2 linked regions of the Caenorhabditis elegans genome follow. The protein of the gene in region 2 purifies or fractionates together with the protein of the main gene of each other region. This does not show direct contact. Each region holds a gene or a part of one and is shown on either strand. Other genes may lie near its edges.

Region 1 (8,243 bases), on a different chromosome or scaffold from region 2:
AAAAATCTGCCACAAAAAGTTCAGAATTTCACGTATTTCACCATTTTTTTTCGCGAAAATTCGTAAAATACCGCAATTTTCACCGAAAAAATCCGGGGTTTCACAGGATTTCCATCAAAAAATTGCTTCAAAATTGCGAATTTTTGGACCAAAAAATGCCGAAAAAGTGAAATTTTGTTCCGAAAAAATGGATTTTTGCACATTTTTCAAGCTTAAAAACCGAAAAACGCCGGCGATTCTAGTCAGAAATAGGATTTTTTGGGAAATTGAGAAGAAAAAACGAGAAATTTTGGTGAGAAATTAGGAATTTCGAGCGTTTTTTTTTCAAATTTTGGAAAGAAAAATGGCTTGCTCAATTTCAAACAAAAATCAGATTTTTCGGAATTTTCTTTAAAAATTCAAGTTTTTTGGTAAAATTAATAGGAAATTTCGTATTTTTTCTTTGAATTTTTAGAAGAAAAATGCGTTAAAACTGAATTTTTTGTGCGAATTTTTTTTCCAATTTTTCTAGAAAAATATCTAATCTTTCGGAATTTTCTGTGAAAAATTCATATTTTTTCTGTAAAATTACTAGGAAATTTCAGATTTTTTCGCTGAATTTTTTAGAAGAAAAATGCGTTAAAAATGAAGTTTTTGAGCTAATTTTTATTTAAAAAAACCGAAAAAATCTAGATTTTTCATAACTTTTCTGGAAAAAATCCAAAAAAAATTTGAAAATTGAAAAATCCTATAAAAACCAAATTTTTCTGAATTTTCAGATTTTTTTTGAATTATCAGGAAAATTTTTTTTTTTTTGCCCTTTCAAACATTTTTCTCAAAAATTCAAAATTTCTGTGCGAAATTTTCAATTTCAATATTTTCTATCGAAATTTAACGGGCTCCTGTCCATCCTTAAGCTCCGGTGGCCATTCCAAATCAACTTTCTCCACATCCAGCTCCAAAATATCAACTTCTCCGTGCTCAACGTCAAGGAGCTCGGCAAGCGAAGGCCTCGTCCTTCCAAAATCTCCGTGAACAAATTCCTTGATATATGTTCCTGCTTGGGTCTCGAGACGAACTTCAAAGTGGTGATCGTCCAATTTTAAGAAATTCATCGAATAAATCCATCGTTCTCTGTCGAGTAGAGCTCGACGCTTCATCACACGAACTGGCGTCTTTTGAACAATTTTCAGCGGGATTTTCGATTGAGCAGCGGTGAATTGGGAGTCAGAAATTGGGAGAATACTGTAGCAGTAGGCACAATATTGCTTTCGTTTGTCTGCAAAAAATTTTGAGATTAGGCATTATTTTAAAGGATTTTTTTTCTCCATTTTTTTGGTAAAACTCTAATTTTTTTTGTAAAATTGATATTTTTGCTGAAAATTTGGATTTTTTTTTTACAGAAAATTTCATAAATATCTGCAAATTTTGGGTACAATCCGTATTTTCGGCAATTTTCCAGTCCAAAATGCTCCAAATTTTCGGATTTTCTTAGTTTTTTTTTTCTTGTTTTCCAGAAAATCGTTCAATTTCTCCGACTTTTTTGGGTACAAATTGTCGGTTTTTCTTGAATTTTTTGCCGAAAAATCCCTGTTTTCAGCTATTTTTTTTTGTCCAAAATGCGTTAAATTGTCGGATTTTCTTGGTTTTTTCCTAGTTTTTACTAGTTCAATTTTCTCCGACCTTTTTGGTACAAATTGCCGATTTTTCTGGTTTTTTTTGTTGAAAAATCGTATTTTCAGGTAATTTTTAGGCCCAAATGCTCCAAATTGTCGGATTTTTTTGGTTTTTTTTGCTAGTTTTCCAAAAAAAAAAAAGTGCAATTTCCTCCGATTTTTTGGGTACAAATTGTCGGTTTTTCTTGATTTTTTTGCCGAAAAATCCCTGTTTTCAGCTATTTTTTTTAGTCCGAAATGCTCCAAATTTTCGGATTTTCTTAGTTTTTTTTCTAGTTTTCCAGAAAATCGTTCAATTTCTCCGACTTTTTGGTACAAATTGCCGATTTTTCTTGATTTTTTTGCTGAAAAAATAATATTTTCAGCAAATTTTCAGTTCAAATTGCTCCAAATTCCATTTTCTGTTTCCATAAAATTGTGCATGCACCTTCTTCTCCAACACACAGCTTCTCAGAAACATCCCGTGGAACTCTGGTCAGCGACACGACTTTCACATCCTTCTGTACATTTATAGCCTCCTGAACCGTCTTCAGTGTCTCCAAATACTTGATTCCTCTCACTGGAGCCGTCGTTCTACAATTTCGGAGCTCAACGACAAATGGGCGGCCGGTTCCGAGCATTCTGACGTCAATATCCTCACGTCCTGACGTCACGAATCGACTATCACTGGCTCCGAATTGCTTTTTCAGGAGGTCACACACTTTTTCGGAAACCTGCAAAAATTTCGAATTAAAAATTTTTGATTTTTTAGGGGAAAAACTCAAAATTTCAATTTTTTCGATTTTTTTTTTGTAAAATTTTGATTTTTTTTGTTGGTAGAACTCCCCATTTTTCATATAAATGTGAAAATTTTTCCGGATTATCGCGATTTTTTCAGTAAAATTGACATTTTTCTTGAAATAATCGATAGTTTTTAGGCAAAACTGTAGTTTCCGGTAAAACATTCGATTTTCCTGAAAATTTCGATTTTTCGTCAAAAAATTTAGTTTTTTTAAAAACTTTTTTTTTTGGTAAGAAATGATTTTTTTGGTAAAATTTCGATTTCTTCCAAAAAAAATTGGTATTTTACTTGGAATTTTTGAAAAATTTCGAAATAAATTTTATAAATTCCCTAAAAACTAAAAAAAAACCGATTTTTTTGGAACTTTTATAGAAAAATTTTTAAAAAAGAAAAATTCAATTTTTTTAAATTTATAGAATATTCTAGAAATATTTCACCGAATTTTTGCAGAAATTAGGGGTTTTTTTTTTTTTTTTTCTTGGAAATTTTCTTGAAATTTTGCTCAGAAAACTTGAAAACTCAAATTTTTTTTAGATTTTTGAGGGGTCAGAACATCAGAATTTAATTTTTTTTTTAGTCAAAAAAATCTTAACTTTATTTTGCAAAAAAAATTCACATTTCTAGATTTTTTATTCGAAAAAAACTGAAATTTCCGAATTTTTTTTTCCAAAAGGCCAGAAAATTCAAAAAAAAATCTGCATTTTTCCCAGAAAATTAGGGGAAAATGAAATTTTTGTAGTAAATTCAGAAAAAGCAGAAATATTTCTTTAGAAAATTCCATTACAAATCTGAAAATGCAGATAAAAAATTGGAATTTTTTGATTTTTCCAAAAAATTGTCCCGGAAATTTGGCAGGATAACTGGGTTTTCTTCAATTTTTCGCCTGGAAATTGTCGAAAATGTGTCTAATTTTGGCCGAAAAACATGAAAATTCTAAATTTTTTAGAGATTTCCGTGGATTTTGGGTAAAAATTTTGATGTTTTCTAGATTTTTTCATTAAATTTATGTTGATTTTTTATTTCAAAAGCTCCAGAAAAAAGGTTTTTATAGATTTTTTAAAATTAAACAAAAAAAAACTTCAAAAATTGCATTTTCAGAGCAAAATTTCATTAAACAGTCGAAAATTTGTTGAAAAACTCGCATTTTTTGGGTAATTTCATTTTAAAAAAATCCGGGAAAAATCAAATGAGATTTTGTCGATTTTTTTTAGTTCTAAAGGCTCGAAAATTAGTTGATTACGCTGAATTTTCAGCTTTTTTTGAAGAAATTTCACCGGAATTTTATGAATTTTCCGATTTTTGAAGGTTATTTCTAGATTTTTTTCAAAATTTAAATTCCAGATTTTTCAAGTTTCAAGTGGAATTTTCTTCAATTTTCCATCAATTTTCCATCAATTTTCCATCAATTTTCCATCAATTTTCCACTCAAAAATCGAACCGAATTTCCGGGCTCTCTCGGAGCATCTTTATCCTCACTCCACGGTGATTGTGGTAGACATCTTGAATATTTACAATATCTTCCAGCAATGTATACTGGATCTCGTTCGAATTGAAGTTGAAATGTGCATTTACGGGTTGGCGATTTGAAGATGTACTTTCTGTAGAGAAAATATGGATTTTTTTGGGGAAAATTGGTGAAATTTGGTGAATTTTAGGTCGAAATCGTCGTGAAAATTCAGATTTTTTGACGTGAAAATTTTCAAATTCACACAATTTTTAGCTGAAATTCAGATTTTTTGGGGAAAATTGCGGAAATTTGGAGAATTTTATTAGGTCGAAATCGTGAAAAAATTGCGGGAAAATTCCGATTTTTCAACAAAAAAATCGGATTTTTTGGATTTTTTGTTGATAAATTTTGGAATTTTCGCAAAAAATTCGGAAATTTCATGTAAAAATTGTCTTAAATTTTCTATTTTTCGCTCTAAAATGGGCCCTTAACGTTAAATATGAAATTTTCTAGAGAAAATAGGCTTTTTGGGCTGAAAATTCGGTCGAAAATCGGCAAAAATTGGAGTTTTTGGCAATTTTTAAGGCAGTTTTCGATTCATTTTCCAACTTTTTATTGATTTTCAGGGCATAAAATTCTGAAAAACTGCAATATTTGACAGGTTTTTGCCTGAAATTGTGAAAATTCGGAGAAAAAAAAGGAAAAATTGTTTAAAATTTGAAAATATTGATTTCCGCTCAAAAATGCATTTTTCTAGTTAAAATGTGGGGTTTTTCCACGATAAATTTGGAATTTCCGTTAGAAATTATATTTTTTCTTGGAAAAATGGCTTCAGTATTTCAAAATGTAAGTTTTGAAGGTAGAAATTGGAGTTTGAAGCAACAATTTTTCAACATTTTCCAAGTTTTTATTGACTTTTGAGGGTATAAAACGTTGGAAACTCCGAATTTAGCGAAAAAAATTGGTTTTTTTTTTTGTTTAAAAAAATAGTTTTTCTTGTTCAAAAATTGTAAAATTCAGTGAAAAAAGGATTTTTATGTGGGGTTTTCAACGATAAATTTGAAATTTTCCGTTAAAAATAACGAACAAAGAGTTTTTTTTTGGAATTTTCATCGTTTTTTCGCCGAAAAAATAGCTAAAAACTTTTAAAATTCAAGTTTTGAGCTATTTTTCAGACAAATTGTGGAAAAATAGCTTCAAAATTCAATTTTTAAGCTGAAATTTGGTCCAAAATCGAGGGTTTTTGACATTTTCCAACTTATTAAACCCATTTTTTGTGCAAAATTTCCTATTTTCTCGTCGGTTTCCACCGCTATTACTTTGCAATTTGCTCGTTAATCCTGCCAGTGACCTGCTGTAATTGCTGTTTTGATACACTCGACGGCGCTTCTTGATTATTATTATATCTTCCACGTTTTCCAACACGAAAATCGTTCGGAAATTGATTTTGAAGAAATTGTAGATCCGAAAAATTCGATTCCTCCTGCTCAAAAGTGATCATAAGCTGGAGATCTGAGCTCAGAGTTGGTCGTTTTCCGGAATACTGCAAATTTTATTAATTTTTGACTCAAAAAACTCTAAAATTGGAGTTTTTGGCAATTTTTAAGGCAGTTTTCGACATTTTCCAACTTTTTATTGATTTTCAGGGCATAAAATTCTGAAAAACTGTAAAAAATTTGAAAATATTTCAAAAAATACTATTATTCTGCTCAAAAGTGCAAAAAATGTGTAAAATTTAGCTAAAAACGGATTTTTTTTTGCTCAAAAATGCATTTTTCTACGATAAATTTGGAATTTCAAGTAGAAAAATTCCAAAAATGCGATTTTTCATATTTTTTCCTAGAAAAATGGCTTCAGTATTTCAAAATTTAAGTTTTGAAGGTAGAAATTGGAGTTTGAAGCAATTTTTCAACATTTTCCAAGTTTTTATTGATTTTTGAGGGTATAAAACGTTGGAAACTCCGAATTTAACAAAAAAAAATGGATTTTTTTCGTGGAAAAGTCGTTTTTAGGTAATTTAAGCTTACAGAGCCCAATTTCTTCAAATATCCATCAATATTTCGCACTTTATACGGAACAGAAGCCAGTGTCCCATTGAAATCCGGTCGGAGACGGCTTACTAGAATCTCCCTGTCAAAAATTTAAATTTCGAGTTTTTGGCGGCGGAAAATCAACAATGATTCTAAAATCACCTTAAAGTCTGTCCAACGGGCAAATTCAACGCCAAAATGAAGCTCATCGAGTCGTAGGGCAGCTTGGAGAGCTCTTCTTGCACTTTTTCGCCGACCTGAAGCATTTTTATGGATATTTTGTATAAAAATCGTGAGTTATAACCTCATCAATCATTGCCTGATCCATAATCCCGAAGCAAAGCTGACATTCGAAAGAATTTTCGCATTTTGTCACTTCCTCCGCGTCTCCAGAGATTTGTCGCACGCAAACTTCGCACAAAACTAGCGGAGTTTTGTCATTTGACATCTGAAATGTTGAAAATTAAGTAAATTTATTGAAAAAACAAAAAAAAATCGAGAAAAACCGAGCATTTTGAGGATTATAATGAGAAAAAAGAAAAAAAAACTCGAACAAAGAGGAAAACACAATAAATTCGAGATGTGTGCATTTGCGCGTCACGGTGTATGCACAGAAATGTCTGCCGTCTCTTCAATTGCCACACTGTTTCGTTCAGTTGCGAATTCAAATTGATCCACAATGAAACATTTTTTGCAATTTGGAAAATATTTATATGGAAAAATATAATTCATAAATTCGCAATTCTCCGAAAATCATAATTAATGTTCAACTAATTAATTAGTCTCTATAGAGAGGGGTCCATGGAGAGGTCAATTTTCAATCGAGTTTTCCCGCACAGCTACTGTTGAATTCTTGTATAGACGGCGATATCGTCATTCGATTTCATGCCACATTATGGACGATGGCACATTTCATCTCGAATTCGGAACGTTTGACGGTAGTCGAAGAGTTCCAACATGTGAATGGAAAATATCAAAAATATTTGGCACGCGAGGATTGATAGATCATTTGATGCAGTTGCTGAAAATATCAACAGTTCATATGGTTGATATTGCCGTTACATTGCAACTCACTTTCTAAAGTTCACGCAAACAAACTTTGATGGATTGAAAGTTGAAGAGGTAACAATTGACGGAGCAACTAGGATCAATGAATTACTTGAGAAACTGCCTCACGTGGAGAATGTATCATTGTGGTCTGAGGACGAAACAAATGTAACAAGACAAAATTTAGTTGGACTTCAAAGCGTTCTTCGTCTTTTTGTATACATTCCTGTAACACTAAATGATTTGCTAGTAATGGATAACCCTTCACTTAAATGCGGGAAAACAATTTTGTCTGAAAAAGATTTGACTTTAATAATCAAACACTGGAAAAATGGATGGAATCCAGGGTTAAACTTCCTGGTCTATAAGTTTGAAAGTCAATCGCCGCACTCGAACCCATCCTCAATCATGAAAGATTTATCTGAGAAAATTGTATTAGAAAATGGTGAACCAGCTTTTATAATTCAAAACATTCATGGAACCACACGAATGGTTGAATTCAGTTTATTTGAAAGAATGATGGCGGGATACGTTGCAGTTCGTTCAACACTTCCTACTTATATCAACTAATATTAATGTTTACTTTTGTTTTCAATCTGTTAATTATTTTTCATGTATTGCATTCTCTTAAATGGTTTAATAAATTCTGATTTTTAAAAACAGTTTGTACGTCCCTGGTGTTCAATGTGTTCAGTCGGTACCAGTGTTGCCAGTCATTCTTATTCTCTCCGAGCATTTGAGATCGATATTTCATCATTCTGATATGTTCAAAATACATGGTCCAAAAACAGTCAACTTAGAGAAAAAGCTATCAGAATTGCCACTGAAATGGTAAAAATACAACAATTTGTATAATAACAAGATATTAAAATTGGACAACTTATATATCGCCAATTTAATTTTCTGGAAACCTCCCTAATTCTAAAATTTTAAAATAAAATACATACGAATCATCAACGTTTCCTTTTTGCTCAATTCAAATTTCATAACCAACAATATTTAATTTCCGTTTCCACCCCCACCACCTCGTTTCCGGGCTATTTTAAATCGTAAGCTGATCAAAAACCACTAGGTGATAAGGTTTTTAAGGCTGAAAATATTTGTATATTTTCAGCTCCAAAATAATAATATTCCAGATTGTGTTTGCTACAGAAACAATACCGAGAAACGGATGAAAAAACTATGTTTTGAGGAAAAACAACACGAAAGCACGTAAATAGGTAGGTATGTAGGTAGGCAGGTAGGCAGGCAGGCAGGTAGGTATGTAGGTAGGTAGGTAGGTA
Region 2 (4,266 bases):
AGGAGCGCATGCACAAAAAGCTGTTGGTGCTACTGAACATGCTTAAAAGGTCAATCAATCTGGGGGTACATTTTGAACTTACTTGCCAACACCGCAATCAATACATTCAACAGCATGTCGTGGAACGGAAAAGCTAGGGAAATGTTTCATTTATGGGATTAAGAATTGCAGTCCTTATCAGTTGAAGTGATTATCAATAATCCTGTACGCTTAAAAGACATTGATTATTGCATTAAATGGGCTAAGCGGAAAAAGTATTTTCGGAACCTTGTATTTGAATTTGACGGTGAAATTTTAAAACGAATGAAAAAAAAACTAATTTTTTATTTCAAATATTGCATAATAAGTAAAACAATTTATAAAAGATACACAGTCAAAAAATAGTTTTTTTTCAATAATAATTTGCTTATAATCTGTTGTCCTACCAAAATGTTTAATATACCAAATGTTGAAAACGTCCCAAAAAAGCTATTGGCAATATTTATTTCAAAACCCTTTTTTCAAAACTTTTCATGAAGTTCCCCATCGCCACACCAATAGATTGTCATATACTATACCGATGGCATTTTCTCAGTAATAAAAATTTATTCTTATCACAAATGATAATACATAGTTAAGATTGAATGACAAAAAGTTAATAATTTGTTTGTATCTGACATCATTTCGTTTTATTCGACTCATCCGATGATTCCTCCGCTATATGGCACTGCAAAAAAACAAAATCAATTTTACTAGATTTCACAATTTTCAAGTTTCACTTACAAACACATCTAGCTGCACATTGAGGGAATCGAGTAAAAACATTGACTCTTGAGTATTCACAAGCCCAGAACATGGCATCGTTTGATTTTTCACCACAGTTGTTTTTGAACTGAGTTTCGAAGCAAATCAAGTACTTATTGGCTTGTCTGTAAGTTTGGTTGGCGTTTTTTAATAATACCCGATGGTCTTCTTACGTGCAAGCCTGATTTGCGTCAACGTCACTGTTCACCTCATAATCTAGTCGGCATTGTCTCAGGACATCACTTTGGCTTCTCCAAGTAGTTGACATACAGCCCTCATTAAGGAGGTATGCTGAAATGAAGAAAGTTACCTCGTTACGGTTGGAATCCATTAGTCTGTATAAGGCGCTATTTTTGTGTTAATCGATTTCTGATCTCTGAGCAAATTAGGAATTTATAGTAAATGCGCAGCCGACTTCGGTTGTGGTCAGCGATGGACCTATTTCCCATGTATATCATATTTTCCTGCGTCTCTTGAATGTTTTTTTTAAACCTAATATGTGCTAGTATTCATGCCTATTCTAATCATAACTCAGAAATTCCTCTAAGAGTCTCATAATGTGTATAAATTACCACAGCAGCAAGCCCCAGAAAGTTTGATTTCGACACTCCCCGTGTTTTCCACCTATTCTAGAAACTTCATACCATGCCAAAAAGATGTGTAATTGTGTACTCAACAAAATTCAATTCCGACATCGCGTCGGGAAATGACAATAAAAATTCATACTTTGCAATCCAGCTCCACAGACAAAGTGCATTTGGTTGAACAGTCCAACAAATTGATAAGCGTTGAATGGAGTGGCCGATACAGAAACAAAATGGACCGCAGACATGCAGTTCGCGTATTCAGAGCCCATGCAAACTTTAAACTCGCGGAAAGCTCTGGAATTATATTCAGGATTCGAGAGAGAGTATCTAGTGAAGTACTGACTTGCAAACTTTACGCATTCCACTGGGTCCTTGAGCCTGGTAGTTTGTCTCCACCTAAATTTAATCAATAATTGTGTTTTGCTCTTTTTTCTGATAATCAAAAAATCAGATTATAATACAATCATGATGACATAATTAATCCCATTGACTTAAAAGTTATCATCGACACGTTCTAAACCTCACATTTCACATTTCACTATGCACACCCTTCGTCATATCACCTTATTCAGTTATCATTTCATGGAATGGCAAGCGTGGAAACTATTGTATTAAAAACTTGCCTCCTTGCGGAAGTTTTCGGGGTCAAACCATGGCTGTGGGTCGCTGATGCTCAAAACCGCATTGAGAGCAGTTTGGCACTCAAAATAAACCGTCGAGTCACAGTTTAGACCGGCTGATTGGACTCCTGGAATAAAAAAATAAGATTAAAACAAATATTTCACAAGTTTTAATTTCAATTTACTTACCTGACAATCCAAGAATCAACGCAAGAAATGGCAAACACCGGTCTTGCCACATCTGAAAGCATAATGTGAGCACAAATATGTATTTTTAATTTTGCAAAAAAAAACACACACACACACAAAGTCAGAAGTATTCAATGCATTGAAGCATTTCAAACGAAAACAAATTTTTGAAATTAAAAAATTATGAATTAAATTACATAGATTTATTCCCAAAAATGTGAATTCAAATAAAACATTTTGACCAAAACAAAAAATGGAGATGATTAAACAAAAGACGATCAGACGCGTTCGTGGACTGAAAATAAAATAAACATTATTTAAACCCCATCCCATTCTGAAAACCTACATGTGCAGAAAATCTGAGAGCACTGTGGGAAGAGAAGATTGGTACCGGTACGCTCGTAGTTGCAACCCCAGTAGGCCATCTCTGGCTTCTTACAAGCGTTCCAGAACAGTTGGAAGTAGCAGTTGGCTGCGATCTCAACGTATCTAGAAAGTTAAGATTATTCATTATTCTTTTTGATTGGAAACAAAACTTGAAAACTTACGCGCAAGCTTGAGCTGGGTCAGCCATGGACTTCACGTTGAAGTCATTGTCGCACTGTCTCATTGCAGCTGTCTGGTTGTTAAAGACAGAAGAGCCGCAAACTTCAGAGTTGGCAAAGACTGAAAATTCAATTCTAGTATTCAGTATTACAGTATAATTGCTAATCTTACTCGAGAATCCAGCACCACAGACAAAATCAAGTTGGTTCCAGATTTTTACGTATCCATTAGCCTGATCCTGTGTGAGTGGGGCGCCGTTGTTGCTGAAGAACAGACAAAAACTGTTACAGTATATATTGAATTGAGAACTTACTTGGTTCCAGTTAGAAGACCGTATGGGTTCTGAGCACATGCGTAGAACTGTTCTTTTGGTTGGCTATAAATCAGTTGATTTGAGATGTAAAAATTAAAGGATCAAAGGGTGTTCCGTTTTTAAACTCCCACTAGGCTTTAGTTTCAAGCCACGAGCCATTAGTGGATTCCTCTAATTCCCAAGCTAGGTTGGGTGATCCTAGGGAAAGGCAGGACTTGAACTAGTGGTCTCATGATTGCTTGCGATCACCACACTACCGACTGAGATATTCCCGTCGCACATTGTGAATCTCACAACATTGCAAACTATGTCACTTACTAGCACTGCTTGTACTGCTTGAAGGCATCGCAAGTTGTAAGAAGCCCGTATGCTTGGTTATTGGCATACGACTGCTCAATGGCACTTCTCAAGTCTTGATATTTGGCAGCACCGAGAGAAGCTGAAACACCAAAACTTTTGTGCTTAATTCTATTTTTCAGTTTCATTACCATCAAATCCCAAAAGTTGATTGAACTGACTCTGACAAACATTTAGCTGGTTATTGATATCGCATGCCGTTAAACTTGGGTTTTGTGCCGCCACAACGCCTGAAACTTTTCATTGGTTTATTTTTTAAGGTCATGTCTCTCAGTTTTTTCCCAGAACTTCTAATAGGTTGAAAAATAATCGAGCCTGGAATGTTTGGTTTCTAAAAGTCGTATCCAGTGCCACCGTACATTTTCTTTTTGATAAGAAAATGCCCGCCGCTAGTTGTGACGCAACTAATACCAACAATCACATTAGATTTAGGAAATTACAGTAGTCTAATACTTGTGCAGATTTCATTTTGGGAACGTTCCCGATCTTGCAAAAGTTACTTAGTCATAATAGTATTTAGGCGTTACCGGGCAACACGTGGAATTTTTCGTTATCAAAACTGATGATAAGTAAGCAAAAGCAATCCGGTTAGTGCAAGACTTAATTCTGCCAATCTAATAACTGTGGAACGGTCTTGTTTAGTTTTGAATACTTGTAAATGATGGGGTAAAGGCAATGAGAATGCGAGAATCAGGAATTGAACGAAATTTTGAAAAAGAGAGTGCCTAGATAAATCGTTGTGAGCAATTGACATTTGAACTATGAATTTTTGAAAAATCGGTAATCAAATAAATAGTGCCTAGTTTTTACTAGAATTTCGATTAAAAGCGCTCCATGATACAGAGAATCTGTCAAGAATCTTACCAACTAG

The links.
Region 1: the proteins of nspg-13 (region 2) and Y48C3A.20 fractionate together in Caenorhabditis elegans (co-fractionation; one large-scale study listed by BioGRID). This does not show direct contact.

The regions. Positions count from the first base shown.
Region 1 is NC_003280.10:13,367,725-13,375,967, reverse strand, and holds the start of Y48C3A.20 (tRNA pseudouridine(55) synthase), read right to left. Parts: upstream 6,362-8,243; coding exon 6,218-6,361; intron 6,171-6,217; coding exon 6,076-6,170; intron 6,014-6,075; coding exon 5,911-6,013; intron 5,427-5,910; coding exon 5,203-5,426; intron 4,035-5,202; coding exon 3,875-4,034; intron 2,369-3,874; coding exon 2,083-2,368; intron 1,259-2,082; coding exon 861-1,258; 3' UTR 1-860.
Region 2 is NC_003284.9:5,253,159-5,257,424, reverse strand, and holds nspg-13 (DUF19 domain-containing protein), read right to left. Parts: upstream 2,232-4,266; coding exon 2,180-2,231; intron 2,119-2,179; coding exon 1,994-2,118; intron 1,767-1,993; coding exon 1,714-1,766; intron 1,665-1,713; coding exon 1,510-1,664; intron 1,075-1,509; coding exon 957-1,074; intron 909-956; coding exon 763-908; intron 707-762; coding exon 678-706; 3' UTR 570-677; downstream 1-569. Other genes in the region: nspg-12 (DUF19 domain-containing protein), read right to left, coding at 1-32, 83-116; nspg-14 (DUF19 domain-containing protein), read right to left, coding at 2,458-2,474, 2,526-2,668, 2,728-2,845, 2,897-2,988, 3,039-3,101, 3,357-3,477, 3,527-3,625, 4,260-4,266.